2 linked regions of the Caenorhabditis elegans genome follow. The protein of the gene in region 1 purifies or fractionates together with the protein of each later gene. This does not show direct contact. Each region holds a gene or a part of one and is shown on either strand. Other genes may lie near its edges.

Evidence for each region.
Region 2: the proteins of pag-3 (region 1) and unc-3 purify together in Caenorhabditis elegans (affinity purification with western blotting, with the first as the bait; one study listed by BioGRID). This does not show direct contact.

The regions. Positions count from the first base shown.
Region 1 is NC_003284.9:14,948,902-14,958,122, forward strand, and holds pag-3 (Zinc finger protein GFI1 homolog pag-3), read right to left. Parts: upstream 5,748-9,221; 5' UTR 5,621-5,747; coding exon 5,539-5,620; intron 5,493-5,538; coding exon 5,382-5,492; intron 5,337-5,381; coding exon 5,202-5,336; intron 5,152-5,201; coding exon 5,054-5,151; intron 5,005-5,053; coding exon 4,937-5,004; intron 4,879-4,936; coding exon 4,757-4,878; intron 3,160-4,756; exon of another isoform or gene 3,010-3,159; intron 2,918-3,009; coding exon 2,826-2,917; intron 2,776-2,825; coding exon 2,679-2,775; intron 2,556-2,678; coding exon 2,450-2,555; intron 2,399-2,449; coding exon 2,299-2,398; 3' UTR 1,851-2,298; downstream 1-1,850. UniProt on the Caenorhabditis elegans protein: Transcription factor. Plays a role in the determination of neuroblast cell fate and neuronal differentiation.
Region 2 is NC_003284.9:14,770,160-14,778,173, reverse strand, and holds the start of unc-3 (Transcription factor unc-3), read right to left. Parts: upstream 4,637-8,014; 5' UTR 4,584-4,636; coding exon 4,498-4,583; intron 1,519-4,497; coding exon 1,459-1,518; intron 1,291-1,458; coding exon 1,073-1,290; intron 1,008-1,072; coding exon 952-1,007; intron 654-951; coding exon 511-653; intron 1-510. Other genes in the region: Y16B4A.2 (Carboxypeptidase), read left to right, coding at 6,350-6,478, 6,613-6,683, 6,764-7,187, 7,325-7,416, 7,463-7,588, 7,998-8,014. UniProt on the Caenorhabditis elegans protein: Transcription factor. Involved in motor neuron fate determination and maintenance, acting as an activator of gene expression in a subset of motor neurons. May act in concert with GFI1 homolog pag-3 in motor neuron fate determination.

The sequences.
Region 1 (9,221 bases):
AATAATCTCTGTTGAAACCGTATTCAAACTTTTGAATATTCATTTATTTTGTTAGGTACATGACTGATGTAAAACACATCTGGAGATTTTTTCAAACATTCATAATGAAAGGGTGATATTTTGACATTAGATTTCTAGATAATCGTTTCATTTTTTATTCTTGTTCACTACTTATGAAGCTTGAAGAATTGCTCCAAAAGCAATGTTACAGACTCTTGATGTTTCTTGCAAATGTTTGGCCTGAATTTATCTCTGACTTCGGCCTGCTATAGTAATTTCCAAGACAACTAACAGTTTTGCAGCAAAAACCGCAAATCATTTTCAATTTAATTACTGCCATCTTTGCACAGTTTTATAGTTTATTATAGTTTATCAGTGGTTTTTTTAAATCAAAGTGCATTTTTACAATAGTTATTCAAATTTGGTAACATTTGTGAACTTACTACCAAATATACAATTTAAAAAGGTTTTGTAATTTATAAATACCATTAATAAAATTCTCAACATCACTGCAAACATGACTTAAGTTAATATACAAAATTATTTCTCAAATTCCTTCCAGCAAAGAAGTTGTGTCTCATTTCACAAACCCCGAAAGACAACTCCTCGTAGCATCTTTCGGTCTTTCTTCTCGGCGGGTTTTGCTCATTTCCAAACTAATTACTTGCACTGCATCAGTTGGAAAATCCCTCAACACCCATATTCCGGTGGCTTTTGGTAGGTGCTTTGTGATTAGGTTATGCTATTTGTAAGTCACACGAAATGACCTAATTTCGCTGGCTTTTTCTTTTCCTGTCCTTTTAATCTTCTTTTTCAACCATGGCTTTCCGAGGCTTCGTAACCGCATTGTGGCTTTATTGGGAATGAGAATTTTTGAAATTGTTGCTACGAGTTTCGGAGAACATCAGTACATCAGTACATCAATGAGTAGCAGAATGAAACAGGAACCCAAAAACCAACTCAAATAAAATATTATTTGAAAATTTGAAAAAAATGTACCAAGAGGTACCCTGAAAGTTGGGAATGTGTGGCCAATGTGATACGTCTTTGAATTTATTTTAAAATTCAGTTGCAGCTTCTTAACGAACTTTTTTCGAATTTTTACCATTTTTTTACAGCGGCTATTAATTGACATTTAATCAGTCATTCTTCATTGAACAAATTTTTTGGCATTAATTTTGCGTTGTTTCTCAGTTAAAGAAGGACTAACAGTTCGGACGATTTGAAATGTATAGACCCAAAACAAGCTTAAATGAACGATATTCGTGATTAAGCTTCTCAAAAAAAAATTTCGAAAAATTTTTATGGCGGTTCAAAATTTCGACAAAATTGCACTGATTTTAGCTGGAATCTCGAAATTTTTCCCACTTTTCTGTGTCGCATCAGTCCGATGTTGACTTTTTGCATATTCTGGTAGTTTATATTGTTCAATATCTCCAAATAAGGTACATTTAAAGCCGATAGCTTACAAATTTCAATGATTTTTGAAAAAAAAATGGGTGCAAAAATTTTGTGACTGTTTCACACATCAACCGAAAAATTATCTCCTAGCATGAAAGAGCATGATGAACCAGACAAATCTCGTCAGACCCATAATAGTCCAAAATTACCAAATATTTAAAAACTAATTATATAAGTTCCAAAGTTTTGGTAAACTGCCAAACTTTTGAACTGAAAGTACCATAAAGCTGCATTCAAATTTTTTCTACTTGCTATATTAATTTTTTTTAATTGAAAAATTTTGCTCTACAAATGTACTGAATTTTTTAAAAACCGTGTTTACTTGCAATTTTAAAGTTATCGGGTCTGACTTGAGTGCGTGTTAATAAAATTTGATAAACGAGTTTCAATATTAAACATTGTTTATTAATAAGGCTAGGCTACTCACCGAAAGCATTTCAAAAATGACAGAAAAAAACAACTGTTAATTGAAAAAAGGGAAATTTGAATAAAGCAAAAAAGCAAATACATCATATGTGCGTGTAACATCGCAATACCATAAAATTATGGAAAAGGAACTGAAAAAGAACAGATATGTATAAAACGTCTGACCATTAGCGATATAAACAATAATCAGTACATAATGTATGTGTTTTGAAAAAAGGATGACAATTGATGTTGAGGCTTGTTTAAGGATAAGAGATCAATCATCGAGTTTGTGAACTGTGTTAATGAAATTGAGGTAAGGAAAAATGTCAGTAGATAGAAAGGAATTTTTTACTAAATACAAAAAACCAAAGGTAACCAGCACAATTCTCATTGTCCTTATTACCTTTGAATACAAGAATTTCACACAAATTATGACACGCTCAAATTCAGTACTTTCTCCTCTTCATCATCAGCTTCCTCCATTTCCTCGCCCATCTCTGCTTTGATCGCGAGCAGCTCGGCGGGTAATCTAAAAAAAGCACAGTTTTATTTGATTGCACAATTTTGTTTGTGAACATGCCTAAACACGTTGAGAAATTCATCGGAAGAGTCGAGATACCCGTTGCTCGTCGGAGGTGTCATGTATCCTTTCGGGGAGAGATCCGATGAAATTTGAGAAGCAGACACTGCAATTGTTACGGTTGGTTTGATGGAAAAAGGGGGGGAGGGGGGTACTGTAGCATTTCAAAAGGAACAACCAACGAGAAAATGGTGTCCTTGATTGGCTGAAATTTGAGTGAAAAACGAACCGCATTCTTCGGGGTGGCCCGGATGGTGACTCTCGCGGTGCCGACGGCGGTCCACTTTGCGTTGGAACGTCCGACCACATACATCACAGGCAAATGGCTGAAGATAATGACCTCATTTTTAAAGAATAAGGAAAGGAGAACTGTTACCTTAAATCCAGTGTGTTTTCGTGTGTGGGTGATAAGGTTAGAAGACTGACTGAACGCTTTTCCACATACAGTACACTTGTGTGGTTTTTCACCTGAAAATAAAGTATGGGAAGTTTTAGATTAGACATTTTATTTTGTGTAATAAATTTTGGGCACGGGTGGCTAAGTGGTAGTGGTGTAGCACTGTCGCCCAAGAGGTCGCAAGTTCAATCCCACCACACCCCAAAAGCTCACCCAGCCGGCGTGGAAAGTGGGTAGTGAATTTGGTTCACGAAAGGTAAATCGGAGCATACTGCTAGTCCCGGTACGGCCTTAATTCAGACTAGAAGAGATATAAACGCAACCAGTAACCCTGATAAATCTCTGGGCCGCAGGAGGCTTCGGCTCACCCTTGAACCAAACGGACAACCTTTGTCTTTTTTTTTTAATTTTGTGTAATAAATTTTCAAACTATATTTAGAACTCAGCAGTCAAAATATAATTTTTTTTTGAAACCCTGTTTTAGGGGGAATTTGTATTTTATAAAATAAGTGAATTACTTTTCACTACAAACTTTCAATGCGTCCATGAAAAATATATGTTTTATTTTCAAAGGCAACGTTTAATTTATAGCAATTGTCTCAAATTGAACCTTAAAAAAATACAAATTTTGTTATTATTCTGTTGCACAGCAAAACCCCGTCTAGAGATGGAATCCCAAAGTTTTCATTGCTTCTTTTTCTTGTCAACTTCTGTAGATTGCTTTGCTTGTCAGCATACAAGATTTAATTTGTTTTTAATTTTCAAACGTCATTCAAAGAATCTTTTCTCTCCGCGCTTATCCAATACCCTACCCCTACCCCCCCCCCCCTACTTCCAACCTTTGACATCTCCCCTCAGAATTTTAATTTGAAGCAATTTTGCAATGTTCAAGCTGTGTTGAGCTCAGCGATGCTCCTCGCTGTGGTTTACTGCCTCTCGGGGAGTCTGTTAGTTGAGGATGGGGGGGAGGGGGATAGCAAAAACGCGATTTAATATTCAATTTTGATTTGTGTTGCGGAACGGTAGGGAGGAGGGGCACTGACATGACTCGACTCTTTCATACTGATTCATCAATCATACTTAGAGATGAGCAGGGCGCGCAGAAAAGAAGAGGAGGCTCATGTGCACACGCATCTGACAACTTTTCGATTCATAATAAACCAGAATAACGATTTCTCTTCTTTCAGAGTTGAATTTTCAATGAATCGTGTTAAGCGAAAATAAACGATGATTGCTTAAAACGAGTTGAAATTGTAATTGAAAAAGATATGGTGGTTCGCTTCAAAGACAAAATTTGAGTTAATTGAACTTATGAACTAGGGCTTTGAATCTTCTATAAAAAGCATGAAACCTTGCTGGAAACACTTATCAATATTTTTTAAGATAAACTGTCACATAAAGAAATAAGTGATGCCAAACTAGTAGGGAAAAATGGTAACTCAAAAAAAATTAAAAGAAAAGTCATAAAACCTTTTTTATTATTTTCTAAAAACTGGCTACATTGAATATTTATTCAAAAGCTTAAACGAACATATACATATAAAAAATAGGTTTGTCAGAAAATCCCACGTTTTTGAAGTACTCATGTATCATATTGCAAGCAAAATTTATATCGATTTTACGCCGTAGTGTCTCCTGCATCACAGCTAGTTTTATAATTTCAACATCCTAATGCGAGACCATGTCATAGAGGATTTTGTGTTTTTGAGCACAATGTACAATATAGGCAATTTAGTGGTTTGGGTGCAAAATACATACGTTCAGCGTGTTTGTAATTATTAAATTTTGTATTTCATTGGGAATAATTAATTTTAACCTAACTTTATGAGCAGAATTGCGTTATTATTTGCTGTTATAAATATTATCTTTATCGATAAATCTAGGATATCCTATCAATTTTACCAACATACCTGTATGAATATATGTGTGTTTTTTCATGTCCGACTTCTGATGAAATCTTTTTCCACAGTATTCACATGGATACGGCCTTGTGTCGGAGTGAATCAGAAGGTGTGTAGATAAGGTGGAAGATCTGAAATTGAAATTTACTTTTTTTTAAATTATGTTTTCATGATAATTAAAGTGCATACCTTTTGAAGGTTTTTCCACACTGCTTGCACTCAAATTGCTTATCGCTGACGTGTACTTGTTGGTGTTGCTGAAAAGTTTTAAATTTTTGAAAATTATTTTAAAAATACTGGTTTCACCTCTAGAGCAGCTATGGTAGAAAATAATTTTGTGCATTTTTGGCAATGAAACGGTTTGATTTCCACTGGAGGTGTCGGTGTTCGATTCCAAACTGAAGCTTAAAATACATATTAATGTGAATAGATAAATGTTCAAAAAGCTTGATACCTGATGGTGATTCAGGGTTCTGAGGGATGATACCCATTGCCATACTCCTCAGGTATTGCTGCCAGAACATGGGAGCGTTGAGAAATCCGAATGGAAAATTTCCAAGAATATTTACAGGAGGAGGACGGGGCATTGCTGAAATGAAACTTGATAGTTGGAAACTCGGAGGTTCTAGCATACTTTGCTGCATCATGAGGAGCTTTTGTTGTAGTGATATGGTAGCGGCCATTCTCTGCCAAGAACTCATCACATCTTCTGTGATCATGAACTCATTTCTATCTTCAATTGATTCTGAAAATGTCGTTATTTTTGAATTAAAATAGATTTATGCACAAACCTGTTGGTGAAACACTAGACTTTTCCACGTTCGAGAGTAACGATTCAACAGAATAGACATTTGACACGTGCTCAGTGCTCATCTTCGTCTCAACACACAAAAAATGAATAAGGGAGTAGGACGAGGACGAATCTCTGGAAACGCGTGCCTTGAATAAAAATTTTTGAAATCTTGAAATTCGAATTTGGCACCCTGTTCGCTGAGCCACTGAAAAAAAAGAAACGAAAATCTTTGTGATTTCTAGAGAATTGGATTAAATGAGACAAGAACAGCGGATGGGAAAACAAGAAGATGAAGACGTCAAATCAAGGGTCCATAGGGATTTCTGAGGATTTAGAAAAAGACGAAATCAAGGCCAATTAGGAACTTTGGAATGGATTAAAGATTTGAAACTGGAAAGTTAGCAGGAAGTGAAAACGAGTTGAATCTTTCTTTTTTTTTTCAAAGCCATTGTCATTTGTGCTCGGCGTAGTGTGAAAATAAGCATATAAATAATAAATATGAACATCAAACTGCATCACATCCCTATAAGCAGAGGGTAAATGGGGGGATGGCTTTGGATGTCCGAGCTGTGACGATTTGAAACTCGAGCTGGTCTACATTCAAAAACCCAACTGTGGAAGAATCTGAATGCATCTCAGCACTGATCCGTCCTCCTCCTCTTCATTTCGACCATGTTGCCCTGCCTCCTATTTTTCCCCTCAGATGCATGTTATTGGATCGCCCCGCCCCAGCAGGCAAAGTGTGCGGCGAGCTCTCGGTTAGCATATTTGTAGACGAGTCGAAAAAAGGGGAAGAGAAGCGTTGGAAAAAGAGCAGAAAGAATCCTTGAGGTCAGGTTTTATGCTCAATCTATTATGCTTGTTTTAATAATCTCATACGATTTACGATGTAGTTCAAGCATGAACTCAAAGTGACATAATCGGAGGCGCGCTGGTGAGTGTGAGCAACACTTTGCTCTTCTTGTCCAGCAAAGGGCATGTAAGGGACATTAATGGAATTTTTAAGAGCGTGAAGCGCAAGAATCTCACTGCCAGAATGCGAAAGTAGGAAATCTGCAAAAAAGAGGAAACGTCGAAAAACTGTTTCATCGAAAATTCATAGAGCTAAAAATCCCACGATTTCTTAGTACAAGGAACTCGAGCTTCAAGAAATAGAGAGCTTTTAGTTGGAAATAATAGAAGTTGATAACTTGAAGCAGGTCGTACAATGTGAAAATTTTACAGTATTTTCACAGTAGTTTAAATATCTCAGAAACTTCTGCAAAACTTGCAGAATTCTAACAAGATCAGTTGTAAATAAATTCACTTTCTGGAGTTGGATTTGGCAGTGCCTGTCAAAAATCTAGTGTCTGCTGCTAATTCGTATTCATTCCCCGTACCGTAATTAGTATTCATGTGCACTATGCGAGCTTGCGCACTCTTCAACATGTGGGAAGACAATCCATTGGAATTTCAATTTCTCGAATCGCATTTCAATCTTTTGGGTTGGCTTCAAAATGGTATACCCATTTCCGAGCTCTTTTCTCCACACTCAACCTTCCATCGCTCCTCCGGTGCTATGCATTTTTAAACGACTTCCCACAGTGATGGCGGGGGGTTCCAGGGATGGAGGAAGAGGGGGGGGGGGGGAAGAGCGAGAAGATTGAAATAAATTGAGTGTCATCCTAATGCATGAATTTGAGTTGGGTGGGCTCACTGTGTGATGGAAACGACGTGTCGAACAACACCCAGCCAAAATAGCGATATGGGTGTTGAATTGAATGCATACGGTCTTTTGATTTATGGAATTGTTTTTCGTGTTGGGTTAATTAGAAAAGAAGAAGTCCGTGAAAAATGGAAAAAAGTCTAAGAAATAGTTAGGTTTATGAGCATTTGGGGAGCTATCTTAGGTCAAGTTTTGGATGTTTTACAAAAATGTTAACATTTTTAAAACTAAATCCATATAGAGCTAGCCCATACATTCAATGTTTGTGGTCCACTGTTTGTTGGTTTTATAAATGCTCATTTTGTATTTCTAATGATCAAGTGTACACGAATATTTCCTCCGGTTGAAAATGCTCCTTAATAAGTCGAAAATGCAGTAGGTGCCGATTTTGGCATCCCCCTCCCCCCCCCCCCCCCCCACACACGTATATTCCCAAGCGGCTTCCCGTCTGCAATCGGTATGCATGACGAGAGGTGATTGGATTCGGAATCGCGTTTTGGGACGCGCACACACACGGGCGTAGATATTTGTCAAGAAATTTGTTTTGGCTTCTATTTGAGACGTGTGAATTTTCAGAATTGGTAATAGCCTTCTTCTTCTTCTCACCCACCAACCACACTCACCCAGGGTTTTGGATGACACTGATCCGAAATTCAGTGTACCTGAGAAAACTGGGAAACTATCAAATATCATAAATGTGCTGTGAGAAAAATTGGGATTCTAGAATACGAAACTTCAAAACGAAAGGAAGCATGAGGGAACAGAAACCGCGCCAAATTTGGAAATGCCCACTAATAAAACAAAAGTCAATTGTTTGCTCATTACTTTGATTGCGCGCTAAGCTAAGCACCTTGCGGCCAGGTTGAGTATGTAATATGAATCCTGAACGCTGAAAACTCTCAATTCCCTCCCATTCTGCCTACTTCATCTCCACTTTTGATTCTATTGGCTCAAAGCAATGAAAATGAAAAATATGGAGAAGATGAAGCCGGCTGACCAACCATCTCACCACTTTTATGATTTTTCAATTCAGAAATTTATCTATCCCCGGCTCTCCATATTACGCTGACTAGTAGCAAAAAGTGGCCTTCTTTTGCCTTCTCGCATGGAATATCTACCGTAGTCCCCCGGTACATATGGCGGCAGCTCCAGAGACTCAGAGAGGCGTAATTGGGAGGAAAAGCTATGCAGGAGAGGAAGAGTGAGCATCCTATCGTCAACCATTTTATGACGCAATCTAGCTGCCTGGATAGGATAACAGAGCAATTGTCCGGTTGGAGCAGTGCTCGGACGTTATCGGTTAGGTGTGTCTTACTCGTTTCAGGGATTCAACGGAAATTGCAGAAAGTTTTTTTTTGCAAATCAGTAATTAAATAAAACCTGCTCGGTAAGCTCCTAAAATTAAAGTTGAGAACTTAATCTGAAAAGAGTAATTTTTTTTTTGGTTTGCCTTTTCAAAAGTTTCAAAAATTTGTAATTTTAAAATCATTAAACATGTATCAATTTGATAACTTACGCATAACTTTTAAACTATAAAGTTTACCATAATTTTATGCATTCAAAAAAAAACACTATTATCGCAATGTTTAGCCCGCCGTGGTTTCTTATTCACACTATGTTTGCGCTACCGATCACTGGTAAATCTACAAAACCGTATATTCCAATAAATTAAACTGTCTGTCAGGATCAAAAAATTGAAGTAAAAATTTGGAAGATTTTTATTAATTGGGAAACAACATTATTTTCATTATAAATTTTGGAAAAAAACCTATTGACAGTCGAGGGGCAGGATAGCTCAGTCGGTAGTGGTGGCCGCTAGCAATCTGGAGGTCACGAGTTCAAGTCTGGCCTCATCCCCTAGGTTCACGCAGCCTCTTTAGGGAAGTGGAGCAATTCACGACTGAATTATTGGCCACTGTTCCCGGCTAGGACCTGGCTTAAATTATAGCCCAGTGGGAGCACGGCCAGGCAGTGAA
Region 2 (8,014 bases), 180 kb from region 1:
ACAATATTGTGTCTAAGTAAACAAATTTTATTAAACTAAGAGACAAAGGGTAGGAAAAAAAACATATGAATTTTGAATCAAAAATTAAACTTACTGTATAAATTTATTAGCTTCATCATGTTACGCGGGATATTAAAAATATCGACGTATTTATCTCTAAAATCATAGAAAACAATTTATCCTAAAAACAAACGACACAAAATCTATCTAATGCTCCATCTTGTATAAATGAGCGGAAATTCTCATTACCTCCCTTTCCGTGTTTCATTCTCCTGATTTTAAAGCCGACACAAAACAAAGCATAGCAATCTCAGAAAAAGGCGAGGTCATTCCCCCCCGCTGCTCTTTCTTCATTCATGTTTTACGGCGCAGTTTCATGGCGCAATACTATTAGCATGCCACTCTAGTTGCTACCAGACAGCTGCTCACTTTAACTCGACCCACTTTTAGTTTTTACTCAAATCTCGGCTTTCCATTCCTGAATAACAAAGTCCCCCCCCGCACACAAACCTGTCAATAATAACTGGATCGCTGGGTGTCTCGTTTCGATTTCCACAACTCTTTTTCTCGCAGCACCGACTGCACATGACTTCGTGTGTGAGAAGCACTCGGCACATCTCCGGATTTTTATCTTGTCCTTCGTATGTGATAGCCTAGAATTTGATGTGATGACTTTAATGGTGTTGTGTGTTTGGTGCCTATGCTCATTTCGCGCGTTTTTGTGCTCGCGCGCCGATAAACTTGGCGATGCTTCAGACAGAGCTTGCCTTTTTTTCTGTCCGTGCCAGATAAAAATGATGAATGTGAAAGAAGCTTCGATGAATGCTTATACATAAACGGGCTTACAGTAGGCAAAATTGAGAAAATATTGGTAAGGGAATTAGGCGCATTTTATATGTGTATGTGGAATGTGTTATAGATCTAAAAAATTATCTAGCAAAAAAAATATACCTGTTTAGTGGAACTATCGATGAGCCGAACAAACAGATCATGCTCACTGCGGATTCCTGAAAGAAAAAAAGGTTTGCAATTTTTCCCATTAGTTAGATTTTCTTAGATTCCAACAACTCACCATTCTGAAACATTAGAGACAGACGATAGTGTATCCCATTTCTGGTATCCTGACCGTCAACTTCTTTCTCTTTTTCAACAAATCCTGCAAACTGAGTCCGCTCGACTTCAATCGGCTGGCTGTTACGGTCGTACAGTGCAATGACAAAGTGAAAGAAGTTGGATTTACGGAGATTGTTTGGTGGGTGCTTTTCGAAATGAGCTCGTGCGATTTGAGTGCTGAAGATAAAAATTTTGAATAAAAAGTTTTGAAATGTTGTTTACAATTTAATTTGTTAAATAGAATTATTTCAATTAAAAATACAAAAAATATATAAATTTTCAGTATTGTTTCTGGAGAAATGAATATTTCACCAGGGATCAAAAATAAGAAAATTAAAAACTAACCTTGTATTCGACGTGTCGATGATTGGCCACGTGCTCCGCTGGTTCTCATCTTTTACAGACCTGAGTAAGGTATTCGAGTCAGGAAAGAACATTTGCACAGCCAGCGGCCCCTCGGGAACCGGCCTCATTAGACACAGATCCACAAGCGTGCTCGGCAGAGCTTCGCAAGCTCCGCCTACTGCGCACTAGGGGCCAATGGGTGGGCACACAGTAGGAAAAACATTGAGGGGAGAGTAGCTAAAAAGGAATCTGGCGACGGGCCGATTTGACTGCGGCTCCGGCTTTACTGATGTTGGAGTAACGATGAAGCACAGATAAAAGCATAGACAAAGTTTTGGTTTGGCGGGGAGAAAACCCAGCCAAAAACATGTGATGAACTAGGGGGTGCTTCAATTTTTCAACTCGGTGAAGTTGGGCTCGAAAGATAATTATTTCTCGTGCTTCTCCCATTGCGATCTCATTTAAAACGCTACCGACTTTTTTTTTTAAGCAGATGAAAATTATATATTTTTCATGTTTTATGAACATAGTAAATATTTTGTTCTGTTACGTAATCTTGGCTAAGAGGTTCCCAAAAATCAAATATATATATATATATATATATATATATATATATATATATATATATATATATGCTTATTGAATGTATTTTCGTTCCGTAATAAAACTGTAATTTATTTTAGAAAAAACATCTTAACCATATTTTGATACTTGTGTAAAATTTGATAATGACCAACCCTGTACTATTTTTATTTTTAGGCCTAAAAATTATAATTCGATATGCAAACGAAATATTGTTTTCAAAGTTCAGATCCGCCATGAAACATTTTCAAAAAGTGTACAAAAAATCTCATTACGAAAATGGGTTTAATTTTTTAATTTAATTTAAAACGAAAATGGGTTATCTGAAATTCCTAAAAAAAACCCTTAAAAATATTTTTTGGGATAATGCTATTTTGTTATTGTATAGCTGCTATTATGAAAAATTTTTATATTTCAATTCCCTTTAGATTTCGTGATCTAGACAGTAATGTTATTTTCTGAGTTTTTGATAAATGTTTTGAACGAACATTTTTACGAACATAACAATTAATAAAATCTACTTTTCGAGTAGCTAACATAAAATGCAATTATCTCTTTAATGAAATGAAACAGACTTCATGTTATGTTTAATAATTGATTATTGGAAATTGTAATATTTGTTGTATAAATGTTCAGAAGACGATTCCTTGTCTTTGCTCCTTTGCTCCTACGCCTTCACCCATTTCAGAAAAAAAAAACTCAACACAAAAAGTGAAGCATTCTACTATCTTTCCCAAACATGGTGATATGTGGTGTGCTCGTGGGCTCCTCACTTCACTCTGTCATATATGTAAATGGTTTGAAATCCGACAAGACAGCTGCGAACTCGTATAACTGGTATGTGTGTTTGTGTGTGGGTTTGTGAGTGCTCTGCCCCGTTTTCGAAATATGCAAATATTTCTGGACTAGCAATAAGAGATATATAACCGAAACGCGCGAAACGGAGATGGCCTCTCTCTGTCCACTTGTTTCCAGTTATCAGTTTGTAGCCATCTACGCAATTTGTAACATCTCAATAGCCCAAATCTCATCATTCACCATGTACGGGATTCTAGATTCGGAAGGAATTGAGAAATTTATGTAAAAACAAAATGCTCAAATCCAAGCAGAAAAATGAAAGAAATATGGATTACAAAAACGTTTGGGAACAACAAGATGATGTACTTTTTGAATTATTTCTAAAAGTTCATCTTCAACATCAGCACCTGAATCATAACAACGTATGACGCTATAGAAATGACGTTATACTTACTAAGTTAATTGTTAATTTAAGTGTTTCAAACATAATTCTAGACTTACTAAACTCATCGCCAATAAAGCTCAAGAATGTATCGCAAGCCATGAACACCTTACAATTTCCCCTTTGGGAATGAAATCCCGCTAACGTCATCAAAAAAAAAGGAGTTGGGTCTCTTCTATTTCAAAAGTGTCGTCCTAGAAGTTCTATCTTACCTTTGAAGGTCCGCAAAGACACCAGAATTGCTGAAAAGCAAGGATTCCAAGGTTTGAGTATTCATCAGATAATAATATTAACGCTCACCAAGCAATACTAATAAGAGTGGCTGTTATGGACAAAAAAGAAGGATGATAGTGGCTATCAATTCCGAGGGTGGGTTGTTAGGCAACGAGCCCGAGTACGGCTAATTGAAGCAAAGTCAAAAGAGAATATACAACTGTTGAGTTTGAGGATAGACGGAAAATATTATGAGCGAAGAGATATTTAGCTTGTGATAGCTAGTATACAGCTATTGTCATAGATTCGTTAGAATGACTAAAACTTTAGCCAATAGTGCATTGAGAATGAGGAGGCTTTCAAACATAATAATGAGGTATGAATCACCTTAAAGATACACATTTTGGTATTCAGGAATATGGTATCAAAATGTTTTTAGAAAATAGACAGGTTTAGAAAAGATGCTTACAAGGTGTATTTTTGTGATTTAGGGGGCTCATTCCTAGTTAAGAAATAGTTGTATATCTATGTAGTTGTATATTATAATTTCCAGATTATTTAACCCATTGAATGATATGTTTAGTATGAAGTATGCTTGGAAATAATATTAACCTAAGCTCAAAAATTGAACAAATTTCTTTGTAATGGTTATTAATGAATAACCTAGATATGATGGCATATAATACACAAACACCTAATCCTACAGGGTGGTCCATAATTATGGACTTGTTTTTGAAATTGTGTACCAAACGTAATAAATTTGAATTAACTTCTAGTAGAACCTCTTCGACTTTTACTAAGACAAATTTAATTAAGGAGTTACGTCTGAACGGTATCAAACCCAAAAATAAATAAATTTTATTTTAACAACTTCCAGTATTCCGGAGCCTCAGATCAGTACAGCTCCCATACCAGATTCTCTTTATTTATTTATTAAGATTCTGCTCAATTTTCCAGCATCAAGTTTTTCAAGGCAGCCTAAAAAGCCATGTAAAACAACTTACGGTTGAATGTGAAGATTTAATACAGGATTATAAGGTTCATCATAGAAGTTCATCTGGCCAGCTCTTAGCGGAGCTGTCAAACTCATGCCACAGTTTTCGGATCAAGTGGGAGGCAACAACACCAGCTACACAACCGACTCTGCAAAAGATTAATCTCTTATATGTCACAAGCGGTTTGGGTCCGACGGCCTCCCGTCCAAGTACGCCTGATAGATGCAACAAGGAGAGGAATAACGGAGCGAGTGTGAGGATTGAGCCAGCTGACTGTGAATTATGGTTATGGAGATATGCCTGATTAGCCGGAAGGCACGGCGCGAAACTTTGAAAATCTCTACAGCAAAAAAATGGGGGGGCAGCTGGGGGAAGATTGTTCGCACCCCTTTCACGTTCAAGCCTGGTGTGGTGGCTCACCAAAAATATTACAGAAAATAGTTGTATGACACACAGAAAAGTCAAGTGAAGGATTTCATCAATCATCCTAGAAAGCATAGCATACCACGCCTTGGTCCTCTTTTGTGCATACTTCTTCACAATCTTCAACAATTGAGACGTGAGAGGTCAGACAGACAACACTGAAGAAGGCAACACAAAAAAAACGGAAGAAGCACAAAAAAATAAAGAGATGGGAGAGGATGAGAGGATAGCGAAGAAAATTGATGGAGATTCGTGTGTCCTATTGCAGATTACGGTATCTGGAATCAAGAATGTAGAGTGTTTGGCTATTTGTGACCATCTTCTTTTAGGAACAAGCCAGGAGCCAGCATTTGAAGTCGTGCAAGTGAAGTGTAATATTGCTCATAGTTATCAACTTGGCGAAGTTATCACAATTGCTTTGATAAAACATTTATATACACAGAATATTGTTCTCAAGTCGGTATTTTTCTTTTCACTAAAGCAACGATGTTTCAGATCTACCGTAGTTGCTAAGATGTTTCCAGGTGTGAGTGAGTGCGCAAAGTTCGTTTTCAGGGATGCTGGAATTATCAAAAATATTTATCATGGTGTTGAATTGAAGCTGAAATATTATTATATAAGTTGTGTTATATTGGGTTTTATTTTATTTGTAGTTTCGGAACGCGAGGTCTTGTAGCCACTTGAATGCATAAGGTTTTTCTGCAATTAAAGTAGGTATTCAGTTGTGTTGTTCCAACTTCAAAAAAAAGTTGCACTGTTGTAAACTGGACCCCATAATTATGAACCACCCCGTTTGTATAAAGAATATTGTTTATGCACGTGGTGCCAGGCTGTCCCATCACGGTTTGATCTACAAAAAATGCGGGAATTTTTCTCCCAAAAAAAAATGTGACGTCAGCACATTTTTAACCATGAGAAATCAGTTGAGAACTCTGCGTCTCTTCTCCCGCATTTTTTGTAGATCTACGCAGATCAAACCGAAATAAGACACTCTGACACCACGTGTTTGTACAGTTTTCCAGTATTTGCAGTTTGTAATACAAATATTAAATACAATAACATAGCTTTAGATTTGTTGCATTCATTTGAAATTTTTTCTGATAATGGTGGGGAAATTAATTCTTCCCTTTTAAAAATGCTTGACAGAAATATTTTAATACACAGCTTCAATCGGCAGACTAAACTTAAAGAGCAGGTTTACGACAGCGTTGTTTTTTTTTTCTCGTCCTTCTATTTTTCGACATCGGAACGTCTTGTACCATCCAGCACTTATTTCACAATGTCAACTCACTTTACATATCAACGCTCACGAAACAAAATTTTACGACTGAAACGCTGAAACGACTGAACTGTGTGCTTGTAAAATTTCCTTTCATTATTCTATAAAAGCGATGCTCGGGCACTGATAGTGATTGCCATCATCATTTGTGCAATACGAATGGCGGCGCATCAAATTTTACTCCTTTGTTTGTTACTACTATTAGCGCCGTTGCGGAATGGACAAACCACGCCGACCACGAGAGCCCAGGCCGATTTGGTTAATCAACTGCCAGGGACTATTTTTCAGGTAATAATACATTTTATATTTTTGTTTTTTGAAAATATGTATGCAGAATTATTTTATTCCAAATTTCTGTGTTTTTAGGTAAAATTTAAACAACTAAAAAAGTTCGCAGGTTGATTAAACACATTACCTTTTAGGTGAACTTCAAACAGTATGCGGGTTACCTCAACTCTGATCCCAACAAAAACTACAACAATCTTCACTATTGGTAAGTTCAAGATATTAATCTAAACATTTTATTATCTGGATACTGAACCTTGACTACCAAACAAAATAAAACAATTTCAGGTTAATCGAATCTCAACTGACCCCTTCCAATGATACGCTCCTTCTTTGGATTAATGGAGGTCCGGGATGTAGTTCAGTTTTCGGGCAGATCCAGGAAATCGGCCCATTCCATGTGTCTAGTGATAGTCAGACGGTGTATGAAAATGTGTTTGCTTGGAACAAGGTGTCCAATTTGCTTGCCATCGACGGTCCGGGCGCCGGCTTCTCATGGCAACAAAATCTCTTTCAAGACGACAGCTACGTAACTGGTGCTCTTCTTAACGCTCTCATGGATTTCTATACGGTGTATCCAAATATGCTAAACTCTGATCTCTACATTGCTGGTGAAGGATACGGATCTTTCTTTGCTTCGTCGTTGGTAGAATCTCTGATGGTGAATAACACTCCAAGACCGGACATTGTTACCTCTCCAGTTAATATTCGAGTGAGTTATCTACAAAAGTTGTTGCAACACTATCAGATACATTAAAACAAATTTTATGAGTTTCTATTTATTCTTATCATAGTTCAATTCTGAAGTTTGCTGGGAAATTTTAAAAATGAAATTTTTGAAAAATTCAGGGACTTCTTCTTGCAAATGGTGACTTGAGTGCTCGCCTCCAATACAACAGTCTCATCCCATTCTACTACACTCATGGATTTGCCGGATCAAAGTTGGACCTATTTTTCTATCATTTATCATTTTGAATTTATTTTCAGACAATATGACGATCTCAAATCAGTTTGTTGCACAAATGCTTCCACCCAAACTTGCGATTTTTTCAACAGTAACACAGCATGCAGAACCAAAGCTGACAACGCAATTGCCACTTGGTCAAATTATCAGTACGTGGTTTTTGATCGTTTTTAATTTGGAATGCACACTTGATTTTATCACTTGTGAAATTGGGAATGGAAAGTCATCAAAATGAGGGGAAAGTGCTATGGTCACAAAATATTAGAGAACAAAGACCAGATTGCAACAACGCAACAATTTAAAATTTTAGAGCCAATAAGATAGTACTTACAAGAAGGGGGTGTTCTGAAATCAATGTAAATTAAATTCATTTTAGCCTTTAGTTTGATATTATCGATTTACTTGATCACACAGCTACAACTAGAAATGAACTTTTGATTTTTAGAAATGAACTTTTGATACAATTGATTCTATAAATTTACTGACCATCTATTTGAACACATGTTCAAGCTTTTAGTCATTTCCATACTTGAACATTCTGTATCAATTTGGTTTCAGAATTGACAACACAAACA